Arabidopsis thaliana: one gene and its partners. The gene in region 3 interacts genetically with the main gene of each other region. Each region holds a gene or a part of one and is shown on either strand. Other genes may lie near its edges. The genes, in order: HUA2, ELF3 and LD.

Region 1 (8,031 bases), on a different chromosome or scaffold from region 3:
ATTAATGACGACACATCTCACGTCGTCGTCGCTCAGCTTCTTTACCTCGAGTCTGAGAATCCTTCGAAGCCGATCCATATGTATCTCAATTCCCCTGGCGGCCATGTCACCGCCGGTACGCTTCCGCTTTCCATTTTCTATCTTTAGCTTCGTCAAAATTCGTACTAGTGTGATTCGGAATCAGATCGCTATATGCCACTGCTTTGTCAATTACTTGATATAGTTGAAACTTTGATACTGTTCGTTGATACTTGTTCTTCTGTGGATTTGTAACTTGATTCCTGCTACTAGTTTTAATGTCCACAGTCTCAAGAGTGTCTGGTTTGTGACGAGTTAACACTTTCTGAGTCTCAAATTGTTTGTTGTGAGTCTGTGACGCATCTTTAATCTTTGTCTTTGATACAGGTCTTGCAATTTATGATACTATGCAGTACATTCGTTCTCCTATTAGCACAATTTGTTTGGGTCAGGCTGCATCAATGGCTTCTCTTCTGTTGGCAGCGGGTGCCAAGGGGCAAAGGCGGTCACTTCCAAATGCAACTGTTATGATTCATCAGCCTTCAGGAGGATATAGTGGACAGGCTAAAGATATAACGATTCATACAAAACAGATTGTTCGTGTGTGGGATGCGTTAAATGAATTGTATGTCAAACACACGGGTCAACCTCTTGACGTGGTTGCGAATAACATGGATAGGGATCATTTCATGACTCCTGAAGAGGCTAAGGCGTTTGGAATAATCGATGAAGTGATTGATGAAAGACCGTTGGAGTTGGTGAAAGATGCAGTTGGAAATGAAAGCAAAGATAAGAGTTCAAGTTAGGAAGTAACTGGTAATCAAAGTAATAAATTTTCTTCTTTTCCTCTTACCAGTTTTGCTTTGATCCTGTTAGATTACTTTTTTCTATGGATGAAGTTATGCTCTGAGGGCATGATCTCTCAAACTGTTTTTATTCATTCATAAATCAATCATGACTATATTTCTGAAATCTTTTCCTCGCATGTTTAGTGTTTACAGTCTCATATCTGATTCAGTAAAATGAATATTGGATTAACGCTTGGCTTTGGGTCTTAATTTTATGTGCAGTTTGATGCATTGCAAATCTTTGATTTATGCATCATTTTATACTAACTAGAAAGTCTAAAATGATGAGATTATTGTCTAGTTTCAGAAACCCCAGTTCTAGTTGGTTAGTTTATGTTAGAAGATGGGGTTTGCTGTTTCCTTATGCTCTTGATCGATGTTCTTCGGTTTCATGTTTTTGCTTACCTCATCAAGTCAAAGCCACATCTATTCTGATTTGCCTCTTTTTATATAGAAGAAGTTAGAACACATCATATTCTTGTGTTAACACTGGTCTTTGATTATGCTCTTTGAATTAGGGACAGAATCTTAAGATCTTTATGAAAATTCTTGTACGGTGTTGTCTTGTCGTGTTGAGCTGAGCCTTCAATTGCTAGTGTTTGCTTCTGTTACTCTGAATTATATTTGGACAATCTCACTCTAATAAAAGTTTTTTAAATACTAGCAGAATTGTTAATTTATCCTATGGTTTACATGTTTATATGATTTTGTTGGTTCTATAATGTGTAAAAATGGAAAACATGATTTTTTTTTCCTTTTTTTTAAAAGTATAAATGGAAACGTGTAGGAAAGTGTAAACAAGAAAAGAGGACATAAATGACCCAATGACTTAATAATATATTTGGTTGAGACTTAGGAGTAGTGAGATTAAACTACAAAATAAGGTAAATTGGAAAATAAGGAAAAACCTTTTTCGATTTCGATCTCTCCTTGGTGAAAAAGGAAATTGAAAGGGGAAAAAACGCCGACAACAGTAAACCAAACTTCTCACAAAAACTCCTTGGAAAGTTTTCACCTTCTTTCAGCCCTAACCCCATCGTCTCTCTCTCGCGACCGCCTCATCTCTCTCTGTCTGGATCAATCTCGCTCTCTCTTTCTCTCGGCTACGTCGCTGTTTCTCGTTTCGTGATCCGTAGCTGTCTCCGCTACTACCTTAATCAGCGAGCTTCTTCCGGTGGAATAATCTTCGGATAGGAGGAATCGGAGAATTCTTCTAATTGGGTGTCTGGGTTGGATTGGAATACGTAATTCTGTTGGGTGTTCCAATTTCGCGTTCAAAATTAGGGTTTATAGAGGTCTCGCCTATGGCTCCTGGGCGTAAAAGAGGAGCGAGCAAGGCCAAAGCCAAAGGGCAGTTGGTTCTCGGTGATCTGGTTCTCGCCAAAGTCAAAGGCTTCCCTGCTTGGCCTGCCAAGGTGCGTTATCATTATGATTCCTCTATTGGGTTTTAATTTTTCTTACACAGATTCTTGTTTTTTTTGCTTCTTCTCTAATTGAATTCTCATATAGTCCTTAAGTCCATAGTCATCATCTTTAACTTGTTGGGTCTTCTGTTTTTATCGTTACGAATTCTAGAATACACATTAACTTCGTCGAATTGAGCTCTAGTGTGTTCTGTTTCTTTTTGTTGAGATACTAGGCTTCATGATTAAGTTGGTTTGAAAGTCAGTTAACTCATCTATCTAGTTACTCGGTCAGATTCCATGGTTGAATTATGAAACACACATGTTATTCATCTCGATAAATAATGAGCTTCCGAATCTCTCTAATACAATTCTCTTTAGTTAGTCTCTCTTGTGAAGTAATTTGGTTTTGAGTTTCAGATCAGCCGGCCTGAAGATTGGGATCGTGCGCCAGACCCAAAGAAGTACTTTGTTCAGTTCTTTGGAACAGAGGAAATGTAAGCTATTCTCTTTTATTCTTTGATTCTGGTACCTTCTCATCCAGAAAGGTATATGAACTTTAGTCAGTATATCATGTTGCTAGGAATTAAGTAGTAGACCTCGGTTATCAGGTGTTTCAACATGTTACCAAGTGTTTTTCTTTTTGGCTGACAATATCTTTGGAGTTGATTTTGTCTTTTACAAACTGATCATTGACAAAGTTATCTTCCTTTACTGCAGAGCTTTTGTTGCGCCACCTGATATCCAAGCCTTCACTAGTGAGGCAAAGAGCAAACTATTAGCAAGATGTCAAGGTAAAACTGTCAAGTACTTTGCACAAGCTGTAGAGCAAATCTGCACTGCATTTGAAGGGTTGCAGAATCACAAGTCAAATGCTTTGGGCGATGAGGATTCTCTGGATGCTACTGAACCTGGTTTGACAAAGGCTGAGATAGTGGATGGAACAGATCATATTGTCATTGAGTCTGAGAGAACTGATAACTTTAATTTTAGGGTGGATCCTTGCTTCCCCAAATTAGATGAGAATAATGGTGAGGAGAGAAAGGCTGAGATAAGGAAGCTAGATTCATCTTCATTTCTGGAATCAAAGGTCAAAACCACATCCCCTGTTAGCGAGTCACTGGAGCATAGTTCATTTGACCCTAAAATAAAGAAAGAAGATTTTGATAAAGGAACTGACGGTAGTGCTTGCAATGAACATTTTGGTAATGGCCAAAAGAAGCTGGCTAACGGTAAGAGAATTAAGAAGGAAGCAGGTGGCTCTGATAGAAAAGGTGAAGATACAGTTCATCGAGACAAAAGCAATAACTCACATGTGCCTGGTGGTCGAACTGCCAGTGGTAACTCTGATTCCAAAAAATCGAAAGGTCTGTTGACAGAGAAAACCAGCTCCAAAGTGTCTGCTGATAAGCATGAAAATTCACCTGGCATCAAGGTTGGGGTTTCCGGAAAGAAAAGGAGGCTTGAAAGTGAACAAGGTAAGCTTGCACCAAGAGTAGATGAAAGCTCACGTGCTGCTAAAAAGCCGCGATGTGAAAGTGCAGACAATAAAGTAAAGTGTGAAATTGATGATGGATCTGATTCTACTGGGACTGTATCAGATATTAAGCGTGAAATTGTTTTAGGATTAGGTGCTCGCGGTGGAAATTTTCAATATGATAAAGAAGCAGTTGCATATACAAAGCGCCAGAGACAGACAATGGAGCATGCTACCTCTCCTTCTTTTTCTGGGTCTCGTGATAAATCTGGGAAAGGTCATCTGGAACAGAAAGACCGTTCCTCTCCTGTTCGTAATGTTAAGGCTCCAGCTGCACAGTCGCTGAAAAAACGGAGGGCTGTTTGTATCTACGACGAAGATGATGATGAAGATCCAAAAACCCCATTACATGGAAAACCAGCCATTGTTCCCCAAGCAGCATCTGTTTTGACTGATGGTCCTAAAAGGGCTAATGTGTGTCACAGTACTTCTACAAAAGCTAAGATATCTGCTGGATCTACAGAGAGTACTGAAGTAAGAAAGTTCCCTCTGCGTAAACATTGTGAGGATGCATCACGTGTATTACCAAGCAATGCGGAGAATTCTACTAATAGCTTACCTGTGGTAAAACCCATTAATGAATTGCCGCCAAAGGATGTCAAACAGATCTTGCAATCTCCGAAGATGTCCCCTCAGCTGGTTTTAACTAACAAGCACGTTGCAGGACAGCATAAAGTTGTAAAATCATCGGTGAAAGTTTCTGGTGTTGTGATGGCAAAGAAGCCTCAAAGTGATTCTTGTAAGGAGGCGGTTGCGGGATCTGACAAAATAAGCTCTTCTCAGTCTCAGCCAGCAAATCAGAGACACAAATCAGCTTCAGTTGGAGAGAGGCTAACAGTGGTTTCAAAAGCTGCATCACGTTTGAATGACTCTGGTTCAAGAGACATGTCTGAGGACTTGTCTGCTGCTATGTATGTCACATTCTATCTGTCATCTTTTTGTGTGTATGTCGCCTACTGCTTATAATTATTCTTTTCTTGCAGGCTTGACCTCAATAGAGAAAAGGGGAGTGCTACATTTACCAGTGCAAAGACCCCAGATTCGGCTGCATCTATGAAGGATCTAATTGCTGCTGCGCAGGCAAAAAGAAAACTTGCACATACACAAAATTCAATTTTTGGGAATTTGAACCCTAGTTTCTTGAGCATCAGTGATACACAGGGGAGGAGCCATAGCCCATTTATGGTTCAGAATGCTTCAGCTTCTGCTGCCATCTCAATGCCGTTAGTTGTTCAAGGTCATCATCAACAAGGTTCTTCTCCGTCAAATCATGGGCATCAGTCCTTATCAAGAAATCAGATTGAGACTGATGATAATGAAGAGAGAAGACTTAGTTCAGGGCATAAGTCAGTTGGAGGTTCACTTAGTTGTAGCACTGAGGCTGCTATTTCTCGGGATGCTTTTGAAGGCATGTTAGAGACCTTATCAAGAACCAGGGAAAGTATTGGACGTGCAACTCGCCTAGCAATTGATTGTGCCAAGTATGGGCTTGCTAGTGAGGTAAGATGGTTGGTTGGTTTTTCATTATGTTTTTTCTTAAGGCTTCGACAAACTTATTGTTAGGCTGCACATATCAAATCAATTTAGAATTGCACTTATTCTGGCTTTACTTCTTGGATGTTTAGCTTGCTACGTAAATTGCTTTCTCAAAATTATTTACAGCATTTGGTGCGTAATATTGTTCAGACAATAGTTGCTTTAATTGGAAATTTGTTTGTGTTTTTATCTAGGTGGTGGAACTTCTCATACGAAAGTTGGAAAGTGAATCTCACTTCCATCGTAAAGTGGACTTGTTCTTTCTCGTCGACTCTATCACCCAGCATTCGCACAGCCAAAAAGGTGAGCTTTCCTCTTGGATAGATGCAATACCTGTTCTCAAATTTTCACTTCCTTCCCTGAAATGCTAATAATACCGTATTTATTAGCATTTCAGGGAAGTAAAAAATTCACAAGCATTGTTGTATTGTTTTTTACTGTATACAAAGAGAACACCTAATATATTTATTATCATTAAAGATTAAATAATTTCCAGTGCTTGTGAATTTTGTAGGTATTGCTGGTGCTTCTTACGTTCCTACTGTGCAAGCTGCTTTGCCACGTCTTTTAGGTGCCGCTGCTCCTCCAGGGACTGGTGCTAGTGATAACCGTCGTAAATGTCTGAAGGTATTTAAACTATTTGCTTGTTTCTATGTTATCCTTACAGTTTTGTAGGCTGGAGTCAGTGACCTCTTTGTTTTTTTAGGTCCTGAAGTTGTGGCTTGAAAGGAAAGTTTTCCCTGAATCTCTTCTGCGTCGTTATATTGATGATATTAGAGCTTCTGGTGATGATGCAACTGGTGGGTTTTCCCTGCGACGTCCTTCTAGATCTGAGCGTGCTGTAGATGATCCTATCAGGGAAATGGAAGGGATGCTTGTTGATGAGTATGGCAGGTATGCTAAACGATTGTCTTGCTTAGTAGTGTACTCTCCGGATTATATATGTTGCTGATGAAAAAATAACAGGCAAGGTCTGTTGCCATTCTGTAGAGGGTTTATTAACTTGTTTGTCGTTTTTTCTGCAGCAATGCAACGTTTCAGCTGCCAGGGTTTTTTTCATCTCATAATTTTGAAGATGATGAAGAAGATGACGATCTTCCAACATCACAAAAAGAAAAAAGCACATCTGCGGGGGAACGTGTCAGTGCTTTAGACGACCTGGAAATACATGATACCTCGAGTGATAAATGCCATCGAGTTTTGGAGGATGTCGATCATGAACTTGAAATGGAAGATGTATCAGGCCAGCGGAAAGATGTAGCACCTTCCTCTTTCTGTGAGAATAAGACAAAGGAGCAATCACTGGATGTTATGGAACCTGTTGCAGAAAAATCAACCGAGTTCAATCCTCTTCCAGAGGATTCTCCTCCGCTACCTCAGGAATCACCTCCCCCTCTCCCTCCTCTACCACCTTCTCCCCCACCTCCATCCCCTCCTCTCCCGCCATCATCTCTGCCACCACCGCCTCCCGCAGCGCTGTTCCCACCTCTTCCACCACCTCCGTCTCAGCCTCCTCCACCACCACTTTCACCTCCACCTTCACCGCCGCCTCCACCTCCACCGCCTTCACAATCATTAACAACTCAACTCTCCATAGCTAGCCATCATCAGATACCATTTCAACCAGGATTTCCTCCCCCAACATATCCTTTATCGCATCAAACATACCCAGGATCTATGCAGCAAGACCGCTCTAGTATTTTCACCGTGAGTTCTTTGATTTGTTATGTTTCATTTTACTCATGATTCCTCACTATACATATGCATCTTTTATCATTTTTGTTTAAACCCCCTGGACATCATGTGCAGGGTGATCAAATTGTCCAGGGGCCTGGAAATTCTTCACGTGGAGGTCTTGTTGAGGGCGCTGGAAAACCCGAATATTTTGTGCAGCAGTCCTCCAGTTTTTCACCAGCAGGAGTGTGCAGCTCCAGGGAGCCTTCATCATTTACTTCCTCCAGACAACTAGAATTTGGGAACAGCGATGTACTTTTCAATCCTGAAGCTTCTTCACAGAACCATCGGTTTCAGCCGAGCACCCCTCTGTCCCAAAGACCTATGGTTAGGTTGCCTTCAGCACCGTCCAGTCATTTTTCGTATCCAAGCCATATTCAATCACAATCTCAGCATTCCTACACTCATCCTTACCCTTTCCCACCTCAACGTGATGATGCACGGCGATACAGAAATGAGGAACCATGGCGGATTCCTTCAAGTGGACATAGTGCAGAAAATCAGAATGGTGCCTGGATACATGGAAGAAATTCACATCCAGGCCTTCCTAGAGTCACAGACAGTATGTAGATGCTTAAATCCTAATAGACCCTTTACCTGTTAAGGTTTATTAACTTGCATGATTGCTTGTGGAGTTGTAATCATTGTGATACTTCTGTTGACTATGATTGTCTAGCTTGTATGTTAATGCCATGGCTTAGTTCCTTGAAATTGATGGTCTTATTTGCAATTCTACAGGTTTCTTTCGGCCACCTCCAGAACGTCCACCTTCAGGGACAATGAACTATCAGCCTTCTGCTGCTAGTAACTTACAAGCTGTCCCTGCAATTCCAGGTGAGACTATATTAGTCAATTCGTCTGATTGTAGACTCTCAAAGATACAGTCAGAAACCTTTGTGCTTACCCTACCATTTTAAATTACCAATTTAAGGTCATACTGCTCCCCAGATGCTAC
Region 2 (6,762 bases), on a different chromosome or scaffold from region 3:
TTAAACAATGGTATTGGCCAGAGGATGCAAGACTCAGGACGTTAGATACGATATGATATGTCGGAAAAAAATCACTTTCAGTCCTCATTAGATGATTAAGCTTCTTGTGATGATCACTTTCTTATTCTCCTTTATGTGGTTGTTAGGTGAGAGCTTTCGAGAGGCACTGTGGATCGTTGTCTCAGTACGGAATAAAGCACATGAGGTCGATTGCAAACATGTGCAACGCAGGGATTCAGATGAGGCAAATGGAGGAGGCAGCAATGCAGGCTTGTCCCACCATCCCTACCAGTCCTTGGAGCTCTCTTGACCGTGGATTCAGTGCTTGATCTTCGTCTCCGCCCTATATTAATCGATGTCCATTAATATCTTACTACCAATTATACTCCTTCCTATGTAGACAAGATGTTGTAAATATGGGATGCTTAAGTTCTTGATGTCACAGACAAAAGAAACAGTGATTGTAAGTAGTTGTTTCAAATAATCTTTGTTGTTCAAGTGATTTCAAGGCTTTAAGACAAATTAACACATATAAATGAGGCTTACACCATAATACGTTTACATGGTACATATATTGAGGATAACATCTATCACAATTTTTCTAATTTTGTAAAATACATATCAAGTACAATACGCATAGAGAGGATTAAGGCTTAGAGGAGTCATAGCGTTTACGTTCTTCTTGTATTGACTGGAAAATTCTGGCAGCATTCTCACTCGCGAGCTTTGCGTTGTGAGGTACCACCTTTATCACTCTCGTCACTCCTCCCCCATCTCTTGTTGTCTGAGTAACAGTTGTTCTTGTCGTCGTTGTGGTTGTTGTCATCGTTTGCTCAGGTGCATTGTTGATGTTGCTGTCCTCATCAACGGCTGCGAATGGCCGAAAGGACTTGCTACCAGAGATTCCCTGTGGCCCACTTGGACTGCTTCCTGTGCTCCCTTGCCTGCTCTTTCTTGCTCGCGGATAAGACTTTGTTGGCTGTTGCTGTTGCTGTGGAGCAGGTTCATTATCAGATCTCTGTTGTTGTTGTTGGGTGTTCTGAAGATTTCCAGGATGTCCAAACTGGTTCATTTGCTCATTGGGTTGTTGTTGTTGTTGTTGTTGGCTTGAACAATATGGGTTCATTATGGTGGGCATCATTCCATATGGAGGGAAGTAGCCATTACCAGGAGGTGGGAATCCCATGCCGGGGTGATATTGAGGCATTACCATTGGTGTAGGCATATAATGACCATAATATCCTCCATAATGCCCCGTGTGTGCCATACCTGGGTGAGGCTTGTATATCAGTCCTTCCGAGGGAGACATTACAGGGATCAACCATTGCTGATGATTTCCTGAAGGAGGAGGCTGAGGAGGAAAGCAATATCCATTTGGAGCCGGTGAAGCCGGTGGGTTGTTTGCAAAAGGCATGTAGTTGGATTGTTGATGATGACCTTGATTTGACAACCTCCCAACTACGTTCTCAGCTGAGCTTTCCATTTTATGTTGGTCAGTCTTCTCCGAGTCACCCCTTTGTTTGACGACAACATGTGGTAGAGGAGGCTTTACCAGAAATTCTGATGGAAGGAGCTTCTTCACTGGATAGCTTTTAGCAGAAACTTTTCCAAGAAAACTGATCTCATCGAGCAAGAGATCCGGTGATGCAGCAATAAGTTTTTGAACCTGATTATTACACAGTTGAAGAGGTTTGTTTCAGCTCGAGAAGAAACAAATACTCATGGAAACATATGAGAAGTTTCTGAATGACTTTACCTTAATCAGTCTGTGCAACTCAAATAGTTGAACAGCAAATACTCTTTGTTGACTGTAATGAGAAACAGAGTCACATTAAGAAGATTATCCATCAAAAGTTCAACAAAGAGAGACATAGTTTAGGTTGAACAGCTAATGGAACAATACGATCGAAATGAGATAGGAAAAAAGAAACAAGAATACATAGCCAATCAAAAAAGATAGAAGAAAACCAAATCAATGGGTCCAATGACATATTAAAGCATAGATAACAATGCAAAGGACGGGCTTATTGAAATCTAGCTTACAGCGCAGCTTATCCTCTGCAAAATGAGATGTCAGATATTTAACAAGAAGCAAGAAATAAAAATCTTATTATTTGCATTGGTCGTGAATCCGATACCTTACCATATGGATTAGAGTACATTGAACCTTAAAAGTTAAGTCATGAAGCCTACAATCATAAAAACTCTGTAGTTCACAACCACACTAAGGATCCTCTTAAGCAGTAGTAAGAAGAAACTATAATTCTGCATCGTCATAAGACTCAAAACTAACTTTACGTATGGTTAACTAAAATTTAGATCCTGGGGTCCTCGGAAAAACATTTCCCTACCTGGTTCAACCCCTTGAATGACAAGTAGGGAAAATGCCCAAGACGACAGTGCAGAATAAAAGCAATACCAAACCGAGACAGGGACATGTTCCAACAACCAGATGCAAAGAAGGTATAGTAATAAAGCCATCGGCGGGCACCTTGCACAATATAGGTCAACAGAGAATGTCCCTCCCTGCTATAACATGATCCAACGTGTTAAACGCGTTAATATTCTACCGAGGACTCTACAACTAAACACATAATAGGACCATTTTAGATGAATCAGGGGCCTCTCAACTATAGAACCATCACTTCTCAAGCATAAACCTGAAATCTCTTTCTCCCAAAATGAGACAGAATATGAAACTGAGTTATAGTCATATATGTATATCAGCAATCAATTGCAGCATTAATCATGAAAAAAAATATGAAGGAGAGTGTTCTAGAAATTTGAAATTTGGTGATAGTGAAATATGCCCTACCACAGTCCTCAATGAAAATAGCAAAAAACAACAGAGGAAAAAGCTTCAGTAAGACTACGGAACAATGCTTAAATATTAACTTCTTTCAAGCAAAAAATGTTGGTATCAAAGAAGGAGATAAATAGAAAGAGCGGAGAATAAATAACCAAACTGTAAATTTCTAGTGAACTTACTTGGCAATGGCTTTCCTTGCTCTCCAGAAACGTTTTTGACCTAATATACCCACAACATCATCGGGAGAGACATCTATGCTGGATATAGAATCCACCATCGAATCATCAGAAACGTCATCACTTGCCTCTTCATTTATCTGCTGCAGAGAGGCGCATGCTCTGCTTTTGCTGTATTCACGATCATTATCAATGTCTTCAGGACTGCCATGACCCTCTTGTGAATGATTTTCCGTTGCCAAGTGAGATTCAGCTCCATTATCAGTGTCCTTCAGACGAGTTTTGCCACCATCTCGGTATAACCGATTTCTAGACTCTTGTCTCAAGGAAGCATTATAATCATTTACTCTATCATGACTTGATGCTGATTTTTCGAGATCAATCTCCTCTGTGACTGATACATCTAAAGAGATTACAAAGCCACCTGACCTTGCATTCGCCTTGACCTGATCCCTAACTTCAGGTTTTGAACAAGTAGCCAAACATACGTTTTGCTTTGAGCCTGTCTGATTCACTTCTTGAAATCGAATGGAGTGATGAGAGCTAGGTGCCACCATTGGGGTGTGTTTTTCCTTCTCAATACCACTCTTGGTTCTGCCATGAGACTGAGATCTTCTTGAGTTAATATATACTGGAACTGCAAAATCTTCTTCCTCTCTCACCATTTTCCTCTGATCATGCTGTGCCGAAGATCTCACATTTTCCATGAAGGACATTTGGGAGACAAACTTCTCAGTTGCTTGGTTTGCGGCTGAAGAATCAAGATGCTGGACAGATAAGTTTCTTTCCACACCACAAGGCTGCATTGAAGAGGGTAAAAAAGGATTATTTCTCATGTCCTTGCAATAGTCTGAATGCTCAGGGCAATCACAAGAAACTTTCATCGAACTTCAGAACATAAAAAGAATCAGGCACAACAAGAATGTTAGTTTTAAGAAATAAACCACACTTAGATAAACTTGTGTCTACAAGACTCTCATATATACAGGAGAATTCAATCCTAAAAGCTCAATCCATAAGCAAAAAGAAGATACTATGATCTGATAACAATTGAAACATAGATCAACCAATGTCCTACTTTCTCTTTCAGGCTATATAACATCCAAACTCATACAACTAATAACATCAAGAGCCTATACAATGATCAAAATCAAAACAATACCTGACTAGATGGTCCAGGATGAACCAAAGTGCTTGTGTTGTTACTACGAGAATTCATCGTTCCATGATCACCAAACCTCTGAGAAGGAATACTAAGCTGCTCATAAAGAGCCATCTTGTTTCTAGGAGGAGCTCTAGGCCCTCCTTTATCTGCATCATTCACATGAAGCCGAGGAAACATAGGTTCCAATATCTTCTCCTCATCTTTCCCTCTCTTCATCACTCACAATTCACAACCTTTTTCACTTGCAAACTTCTCAAACCCCAAATAACCTAACTTCACACCAAAAATCTTCCCTTTCTCTTAATAATTCAACCTAAAAACTGAGAAAGACTCCAACTTTCACAACAATAAGCTTCAATAAAACAAACCCACCAATCAAATGAAATATCTTAACCCAAAGGACAAACTACGATAGAGATCTCACCACCAAACCAATCAGAGAAAACGAAATCGAAAAACAGACTAAAGAGGAATCAAACAAAACCAAAGTGAGTTTTCAACGTACTAATCGAGAAACAGAGTGGGTGAATCAAGTAGAGAGAGCAAAAAGGAACAAGATTCAGAGGAAGGAAGAAGATGACTTGTGAACAGAGAGAGGAAAGGGGCAAAAAGAGATAGGAAAAGTGGAGCCCAAAAAGATAGAAGGAGAGGATCTCTCTGGAGATATTATAGATTTAATCCATTTGGACATTTTTTTCACCACCGGAAAAGTGCGTGACGACGTGGACTCTTTTTGTCGTTGTAATAAGAAACTAGAAAGTAAAAAAAAAAAACATCATCCAATACATCACTTTTTGTTTTCTTTTAGGATACGTAAAATGTCATAGATATATTACCATGTTAGAGGTTCTTTGATCAGTGCTTTGTAATGTTGAATAAAAGATTGTTTTCAGCTAAATGAAGTCTGTTTGTTTTTTCTTTTCTAGCAAATGAGTGGAGTCATCGACACGATTAGATTACTTGAAGATTCTTTTCTAGGGTTGTATGAAATTATAGGGGAATATAATGTAATATATGTGGATGTGAAGAGTAATTATATAATCATGCAATCTTCCAACTCACTGAATGAGGAGAGCTCCGATCTGTTAGGGATTTCCAGAATTGAAAACAAGAATATGGAAGTTGAAGATCATGCATAAACTGAAACAATTTCTTTGGTGAAACACAGAGCCGGTCCAACGTTTTTAATGCCGACGTAAATTAAAAAAAACATGTATTTCTCATTTTTCATGAATTTCGTAAAATCGTTTCTGAATTTTATACAATCTTTTCTGAATTTCTTAGATATCTTTGGATCGACAAAGTCCGATCCATAGTCAATCCCTACTATGCGGGATAACGCGATTTAGTGGGATCGAACTCCAGTAGGGTGGGTAGGTGGAGTCAAATAGACACGCCCTATGTTTTGTTAAGTTGAAATCCAAAAATATGAGTGAAAGAAAATCCAAATAATATTTATCTTAAAAAAGCCTAAAATATAGTTTATGTTTAAAAAAGGAAACTTAAAAGATAATTTGTCTTAAAAATGCTTCCAAAATTTTGATGCCCAACTCCATTCATTTCCTTGCTTGGAATGTGGGCTAGGCGGCCCAGGCCTAGAGAAACATAGCAAAAGCTCTAGGAGCTGTGATACGTTATTGGAAATGTCCCACTTGGACACTCTTATTTACTAAAACACGTTTCAAATCCATAGGACTAATAATTGACAATATATACCAACGGTGATATGCTGCAGCTGAAGACATCAACCCCACATTTTTCACTTGTCCTGTATCTAACGTTGATATTGTCCCAATTACCTTGTCTCCCTTTGTTAACTCCATCAACAGTTTGTGAGAAAGAATATTAAGAGGTTTTTGGACATGTATCAATTACAAAACCTTTAGGATCATCAAAAGTTACTTCCGTTTTTAGATACTTTTATATATTGCTTATTCGGAAGTAAAGAAACAATCATATTTACCAAAACCAACAAGTGAATGTATCCTTCAAAAGATAGAAGTCCCAAGTTGTGATGCTAAGGAATGGATTGGGGCCTTTGTTATGTATAAAATAAATTTGCAGGGGTTCCAAAATCCACCAACTCAAACTATCATGGACTTGTCCTGTATGGTGTCGTAAAATGCAACTACGATCCATCTTACGAATAATTCTAAGCATGTTATATAATTGGGAGTGGTCGGATAGTGAGAAATCATTTCGGAGTTCAAAATACTCGGTGGCACTATGAATATATAGCACTAATACCTCTGGAAGCTTAAGGTAAGGAATTACCAATGGTACTCAAAATAGTTTGGTCATACGGTTATACTCGCTTTCACTCTAAAGGAGATTGCGAATTTTTGGTAAAGATTATCAAATATCAATGGATATTGATGTTGGAAATATGTAGAGATATCCAGTGGTGGAGCCAGGAATTTTATTTATAAGGGTCATGAAATATATAACCTAAAATGTTTCATCTTTCAAAATAAAAAATTCTCCCATTTATCCTTTTTGTTTAGTGTATCATCAAGTACTTTTTATCACCAATACACTTTTTGTTAATATATAATATATATTGTGGAGATTGATTAGTTGTTGTGTTTATATTCATGGCTTTTAGAAAAAAA
Region 3 (7,307 bases):
ATTATAAACCTGAAGCGAACAGAATCAAGGAAAAGTTAAAAATATTTCAATACAACTGAAAGCTATAAAGCCACAGGAATGAATGCCATACCAGGTCACGGAAGCATGTCAGGCCAACTTCATTCAGTGGTGGAAGTGATCTCCGAGCAATGAAGTAACGGTCAAGGTAGTAGAAGAAGCGGGATAGCCATCTGACCATTACTTTATGGTTTGACCATCTTTTAAATAGCTCCCGCAGCATAAACTCATCATGCTTCTCCCTCAACGCAGGCAAAACCTAACCACAGACAACAAGAGAGCAAACATTCAAAACCGTTTGAATCAACTTAAAACCAAGAGGGGACAGGACTTCTTGACATATGAAACCATGCACAAAAGTGGCATCTTAAAATTCAGAGGTAGTAAAAACGAGAAGTTTATAAGAAAGAAACTAAATATCAATCAGACTCACTGTTGAGTTAATATATTCCTCAAATGCTTCCCGATACTTGTCATAAAGCTGCTGTGAGTAATCATGAGGAGGTTTCTGGGTGCACATGTTGTAGATAGTCCTGAGAATCAAATAAATTCCCCATCATAAGTATCAGGACAAACAGCCAAACCGCTATATAAGGTAATAAACAAGTATAAAACCTACGTATAAAGCATCATATATTGCTCAGAGTCAAATGCTGGCTCATTCAATCCTTCCAGAATCCGTTTCAGCTTAGTAATTCCAGTCTGCATATAGTCCCATCCTTGCTCCAAGTCAATAGTCTTGCGCTCCATGTTGACAAACAACTTTTCAAGCTCTCCTCAACCTAAGTTAACCAAAGAACAAGGAGAAAACCAAAATTTAGAACAGCAGTATTAAGCAACACAATGAAATGACTGAAGCGAGAGAGTCAACAATATTTATCATTCTTCAGAGGTTATAATAACACGTTAACACCCACATTATCGAATGCGAAACGAGTATTATCACCCAAATCAAACCCAAACTATCAGATTGTGCGCAAACGAGGACATAAGCATCAGAATATACTCGAGAAACAATCAATCCATGAGATAAACACGAAATTACACAGTAGAAACGCAATCCAGAGACTCCGACGTAACCCTAACAATCTCGATCCCACAAAAATTCAAATAAAAACCTAGAAAGACGAACAATCAACAGAATGATAAAAAAATCAACTGTCGTATGGAACAAAACAAGCGAGAATCCGACAGAAATAGTGATACCTCGAGATCTTAAACCCTAATAATCAGAAAATCGCGTCGCCGTACCCCAAACAGACCCTGACGATTACCGATTCCCGATTACACAGGATCGGCGAGAGCTGCTGCGATCGAAAAAGAAGCGAGAGAGAGAGAGAATCAAAACCCTAAGAATCGTTCAGGAAAAAAGCGTAAAATAGAGAGAAAGAGAGACGAGACCTATGAGAAGGGCGGTGAAAAGATATCTCAGGAAACAAACTCGTTCTCTTCTATTCTATTATTTTCAGGTCTTATAGATTTAATTATTTTTATTTTATGTCAACTAATATATTAGTATAATATTAAACAAATTTAATTTCTTACCTTTTCAGAGATCTACATCAAGACGCTGCGTTTTATAATTTTTCTTTGTAAAGTAACTTATTTACTTTTATGCCCCTTTATTTTGCCTTCCTTACTCAAACCCTAACCCGAATCGGCTTTTTGACAATCCGAAATTAGGTAACCATGTTCATTGAATTTATCGTTTCAACACATTCGAATCACTGAGTCCTACGTTTCAGTTTAATTCCCTGATGCACATTTTGAATTCGGTTTGCGTATTGGTCTTCGAGTTTTCCGTCGGCGGCCATGGACGCGTTCAAGGAGGAGATAGAAATCGGGAGCTCGGTGGAGTCTTTAATGGAGCTATTGGATTCGCAGAAGGTGCTTTTTCATAGCCAGATCGATCAGCTCCAAGATGTCGTCGTTGCGCAATGCAAACTTACCGGCGTTAATCCCCTTGCGCAAGAAATGGTGGGTTATTGTTTCTATGTTTTTTGGTATCTAAAGTTCGTGTTTTATTGGGGTATGGTGATATGGGCAAAGCTGAGAGGGACAGGTCATTCGGATTTTGGAATAAATTCTTTGAAGGGTATTGAGTCTAGCAAAAATTAGAGGTGTTTTTGGTATAAATTCATATAGCTCGACCTCTCCGTTTCTTCTGTGAACTGTAATGGTGATGCTTCAACTGTTTATATGTCATTTCTCTGATCAAGTAATCATCTCTGTTAAAGACATTAATCTGTTTAATTTTTTTGTTGTTTCAGGCTGCTGGTGCTTTGTCCATTAAAATTGGTGAGTCATCTTAGGATTCGTGAGATCTTTTGGCATAATTACGTATATCACAGAGAATGTTTCAATTCATTGTTGCTCTCTAGGTTCATTAAAGGCATACCCAACTTTTACGTGCTCGATGCCTAGTATCTGATGAATTTGTAAATATTTCAGGAAAGCGGCCAAGAGACTTGTTGAATCCTAAGGCTGTTAAGTATCTACAAGCAGTTTTCGCAATTAAAGATGCTATTAGTAAGAGGGAATCTCGGGAGATAAGTGCTTTATTTGGCATCACAGTCGCCCAGGTATTGTTCTTCTACATGATATGTACTCTTTTTTGCCATGCTTTTAGAATTCCATGTCAGTTTAGATCTGTCATGTTGAGGTACTCATGAGACTTTGGTTTGTCTCTTTATTATTTTCTTCAATGGCAGGTTCGAGAATTTTTTGTTACTCAAAAGACAAGAGTGAGGAAACAGGTGAGGCTTTCAAGGGAGAAAGTAGTTATGTCCAATACGCATGCTTTACAAGATGATGGTGTTCCGGAAAATAACAATGCCACAAATCATGTTGAACCCGTTCCCTTGAACTCTATACATCCGGAGGCATGTTCTATAAGCTGGGGTGAAGGTGAAACAGTGGCACTTATTCCACCTGAAGATATTCCACCTGACATCAGCGATTCAGACAAATACTTTGTTGAGAATATATTTTCTCTGCTGCGTAAAGAGGAAACATTTTCAGGCCAGGTGAAACTAATGGAGTGGATCATGCAGATACAAGATGCTTCTGTGCTGATCTGGTACTAGTTGGGGGTTCTCTTTCACCCACTGTCTTATTTTATTTTATTGTTATTATATTCCCGTCTTGACAGTCATTTTCTATATGTGCCACAGGTTTTTATCAAAAGGAGGGGTTTTGATACTTACAACATGGTTAAGTCAAGCTGCTAGTGAAGAGCAAACAAGTGTCTTACTTCTTATCCTGAAGGTACGAGATTAATTTACTTGCAGCTGGATGGCTGTAAAAATATGCAGATTGTTTTATTATGGATAATTGACATTTAACACGCAGGTTCTTTGTCATTTACCTCTCCACAAAGCATCTCCTGAAAATATGTCTGCCATATTACAAAGCGTTAATGGACTTCGTTTCTATAGGATATCAGGTGTAATTTCTGAAAAACCTAAATGCTGCGTAGCTTTCATCAATGCCAAAGTTCTTGTTGTGATTTATTCGATTTCATCATCTGATTTGAAGATCAGACATATCAAACAGGGCAAAAGGTTTGTTATCAAGGTGGACCAAGTTATTTGCGAAAATCCAAGCTATGAAGAAACAAAATCGTAACAGTTCGCAAATTGATTCGCAGAGTCAATTGCTTCTGAAACAGAGGCAAGTTTTGGTTTATGTGTCGAATAATACTTATTTTACCTCTCATTTTGTTGTTTAGTGACATTTTACTCATAGACTTCTGTCTTGTTATGCAGTATTGCTGAAATCATGGGTGATAGTAGCAATCCTGTAAGTGGTGCAAAACATGAATTTATTTCTATTACGTGCATCAGTTCCTTAAAACCGTTTTTCGTGTCGTAACAGGAAGATATTCTTAGTCTCTCAAATGGAAAGTCAGAGAATGTCAGGTATCAGTTTGATTGTTAAATTCCATCTAGAACAGGTTCCCTTTTGATAGTTAGGTGGTTTCATAATTACTAGTTATCTTCTGGTACAGGAGGATTGAATCGTCACAGGGTCCAAAACTGTTGCTTACTTCTGCAGATGATTCCACCAAGAAACACATGCTTGGTTCAAATCCATCGTGTATCCTTTCGTTTGAGCTCTTTTATTAAAAAGCACCAGTTGATTTACATTTTCTCAATGCATTGGATAAGTTAACGTATTGAACTTGTTGGCTACTTCTGTTATTTAGTCGGTATTTTACATGTGAAACCTGCTATGTCAAGAGAGCAACCAAATATTCCACATCATGTTATAGTCCTTTTCCTAGCTCAGGATAATCCTTCACTTCAAAGTTAGTTTCCTTAGCTTTCAGCAGATAACAAAGAACGCAGGAAAGTACAGATGGTGGAACAACCAGGCCAAAAAGCTGCTGGAAAGAGTCCGCAGACAGTAAGAATAGGAACTTCAGGTCGAAGCCGCCCAATGTCTGCTGATGATATTCAGAAAGCAAAGATGCGTGCCCTTTATATGCAGAGCAAGAACAGTAAAAAGGATCCTTTACCAAGTGCCATTGGTGATTCGAAAATCGTTGCTCCTGAGAAGCCCTTGGCTCTTCATTCAGCCAAGGATTCTCCACCTATTCAGAACAATGAAGCTAAGACTGAAGACACACCTGTACTCTCGACTGTTCAGCCCGTCAATGGATTTTCAACTATTCAGCCCGTCAATGGACCTTCAGCTGTTCAGCCCGTCAATGGACCTTTGGCTGTTCAGCCTGTCAATGGACCTTCGGCTCTTCAGCCCGTCAATGGACCTTCGGCCGTAATTGTCCCGGTACAAGCTGATGAAATTAAAAAACCTTCAACACCTCCTAAAAGCATTTCTAGTAAGGTGGGAGTTATGATGAAAATGAGTTCACAAACTATTCTCAAGAATTGCAAGAGAAAACAGATTGATTGGCATGTACCACCAGGTAATATCATTCGTTGGATTTATATCTCGTTGGCCACTTATTGAATAAGCTGAATGTGACTCTTTAGGGTCTTCTTTGGTTCACTTCTATTTTGGTGGTTAGTTAGGACTCATTCTAATGCCTAGTTTTCTTCAGGAATGGAACTTGACGAACTCTGGAGAGTAGCCGCTGGTGGTAATAGCAAGGAGGCTGATGTTCAGAGAAACAGAAACCGGCGAGAAAGAGAAACAACATATCAGTCTCTTCAAACTATACCGTTGAACCCTAAAGAACCATGGGATAGGGAAATGGACTATGATGACAGTTTGACCCCTGAAATTCCATCTCAACAGCCACCAGAAGAAAGTTTAACGGAACCACAGGATTCACTTGATGAACGAAGAATTGCTGCTGGTGCTGCCACAACCTCTTCATCTCTAAGCAGTCCTGAACCTGATCTCGAGTTATTAGCTGCGTTACTTAAGAACCCAGATCTTGTTTATGCACTAACTTCGGGAAAACCCAGTAATTTAGCCGGCCAAGATATGGTAAAACTGCTTGATGTGATTAAGACTGGTGCACCAAACTCAAGCAGTAGCTCAAATAAACAGGTTGAAGAAAGGGTCGAAGTTTCCCTTCCATCTCCCACTCCATCAACTAATCCTGGAATGGTGCGTTACTTGAAACCTATTCACCCCAAATTCCTCGGACATATCCAAAACCCTATTAATAGATCATGTTGCCAAATTGAATCTCACGACATATAGAAAAAAGGAAAGAACTACAACAGGCTCTAGCTAACACCAAACTGGATTATGAATTCCAGCTGTTAGATCTAACCTGATGAGTACAATGCCCCCATTAGAAGATGTTAATGTCTGTTTCTTATTCTCTTACTGAGTTAAGTGTATTGTTCCAATTTTACAGAGTGGATGGGGACAAGAAGGGATTCGGAATCCATTTTCAAGGCAAAACCAAGTTGGTACTGCAGTTGCTAGATCGGGTACACAGCTTCGTGTTGGTTCAATGCAATGGCATCAAACAAATGAACAATCAATCCCACGACATGCTCCATCAGCATACAGTAACTCGATCACATTGGCTCACACAGAAAGAGAACAGCAACAATATATGCAACCAAAACTTCATCACAATTTACATTTTCAACAACAACAACAACAACCAATCTCAACAACCTCGTATGCAGTTAGGGAACCAGTAGGACAAATGGGAACAGGTACATCGAGTTCATGGAGGAGTCAGCAGAGTCAGAACAGTTACTACTCACATCAAGAAAACGAGATTGCATCGGCTTCACAAGTTACTTCATACCAAGGGAATAGCCAGTACATGAGTAGCAATCCAGGATATGAATCATGGAGTCCTGATAATAGCCCAAGTAGGAACCAGCTTAACATGAGGGGACAACAACAACAAGCATCAAGGAAACATGATTCTTCTACTCATCCATATTGGAACCAAAACAAAAGATGGCGTTAAACCATATATAAGACTATGGTTCTTTGGTCCTCAATATTTGCTTGTCATGGTTGAATTAGCATTATACTCTGTTCAGACACAGATTTTCATTTTTAACTCACAACAGATTCATCAGAGATAATAAACTAAAAGAAAGAATGAATGGATAAAGTTATTACTGTCTCAATTGGCTTCAAGGCTTTTCAAAAACAAGTCTTGTCTTCATCATTATTCGACTAATTCCAAATCTGATTCAATTTAGTAACAGTAACACTGGCTAAACTGGACTGCTTCGGTAATTGGAGATTTTGGTATACAATATCCATTTCTGTGAAGATTGATAGAATGTGGATACTGTTCTTATTCGTACACAATTTTTGTTTACAAAGGGAACACTATATACTGTTCCTATTGGTACTCTCAGTTTAAACCGATATCTTAACCGGTTGGGATGGATAACCGGGTTTACTTTTGATAACTAAAAGAACCCAGCATATAGTTTAAGGCCACAATCTCAACTTGCAAATACAGAGTTAACAGCCGTTTAATTATCGTTCTTATGATTTGTTCTTTGTTAAATGATAGGTCAAAAATTATTTATGTCTTTTCTAATTTCATAACTGTGAATGTTTATTGAATCCACATTACTCGTCACCGAACTAAGTAAGCAGTCTCTAAATTAAGACGGTGATAGACAGTGCTCTTCATAAATCGTTCATAAGTCGTTCAAACTTGTATTAGCCAAATCATTCAAAAAACATAATTAAGAGATCCAAAAACAGAAGATTAAAATTAAGAATAACAGATTAATGAGAGAAAGAGCCAATTAGTCAGATAATTGTAGTCTGAGTTTTGGTCGACAGAATAAATTAATATATCCGAAAAATCGTTATCATCATTC

The links.
Region 1: of LD (region 3) and HUA2, changing one suppresses a phenotype caused by changing the other (phenotypic suppression), as found in Arabidopsis thaliana (one study listed by BioGRID).
Region 2: of LD (region 3) and ELF3, changing one suppresses a phenotype caused by changing the other (phenotypic suppression), as found in Arabidopsis thaliana (one study listed by BioGRID).

The regions. Positions count from the first base shown.
Region 1 is NC_003076.8:7,784,003-7,792,033, forward strand, and holds the start of HUA2 (Tudor/PWWP/MBT domain-containing protein), read left to right. Parts: upstream 1-1,832; 5' UTR 1,833-2,170; coding exon 2,171-2,281; intron 2,282-2,689; coding exon 2,690-2,766; intron 2,767-2,989; coding exon 2,990-4,717; intron 4,718-4,789; coding exon 4,790-5,306; intron 5,307-5,536; coding exon 5,537-5,645; intron 5,646-5,856; coding exon 5,857-5,969; intron 5,970-6,048; coding exon 6,049-6,236; intron 6,237-6,367; coding exon 6,368-7,049; intron 7,050-7,151; coding exon 7,152-7,638; coding exon of another isoform or gene 7,639-7,646; exon of another isoform or gene 7,647-7,814; coding exon 7,815-7,910; intron 7,911-8,007; coding exon 8,008-8,031. Other genes in the region: NCLPP7 (nuclear-encoded CLP protease P7), read left to right, coding at 1-115, 406-824. UniProt on the Arabidopsis thaliana protein: Transcription factor that functions as a repressor of flowering by enhancing the expression of several genes that delay flowering including FLC, FLM/MAF1, MAF2 and SVP.
Region 2 is NC_003071.7:11,057,063-11,063,824, reverse strand, and holds ELF3 (hydroxyproline-rich glycoprotein family protein), read right to left. Parts: upstream 4,882-6,762; 5' UTR 4,367-4,881; coding exon 4,148-4,366; intron 3,948-4,147; exon of another isoform or gene 3,786-3,947; coding exon 2,989-3,785; intron 1,809-2,988; coding exon 1,757-1,808; intron 1,667-1,756; coding exon 647-1,666; 3' UTR 501-646; downstream 1-500. Other genes in the region: ALPHA-VPE (alpha-vacuolar processing enzyme), read left to right, coding at 147-329. UniProt on the Arabidopsis thaliana protein: May be a transcription factor part of a circadian clock input pathway. Acts within a 'zeitnehmer' feedback loop and is involved in its own circadian regulation. Has no role in regulating circadian clock function in the dark.
Region 3 is NC_003075.7:1,122,776-1,130,082, reverse strand, and holds LD (Homeodomain-like superfamily protein), read left to right. Parts: upstream 1-1,592; 5' UTR 1,593-1,830; coding exon 1,831-1,995; intron 1,996-2,288; coding exon 2,289-2,316; intron 2,317-2,469; coding exon 2,470-2,600; intron 2,601-2,729; coding exon 2,730-3,097; intron 3,098-3,191; coding exon 3,192-3,285; intron 3,286-3,369; coding exon 3,370-3,463; intron 3,464-3,560; coding exon 3,561-3,690; intron 3,691-3,785; coding exon 3,786-3,819; intron 3,820-3,894; coding exon 3,895-3,938; intron 3,939-4,027; coding exon 4,028-4,116; intron 4,117-4,351; coding exon 4,352-4,948; intron 4,949-5,083; coding exon 5,084-5,598; intron 5,599-5,854; coding exon 5,855-6,427; 3' UTR 6,428-6,608; downstream 6,609-7,307. Other genes in the region: CUL1 (cullin 1), read right to left, coding at 1-9, 92-277, 452-551, 638-768. UniProt on the Arabidopsis thaliana protein: Seems to play a role in the regulation of flowering time in the autonomous flowering pathway by repressing FLOWERING LOCUS C expression.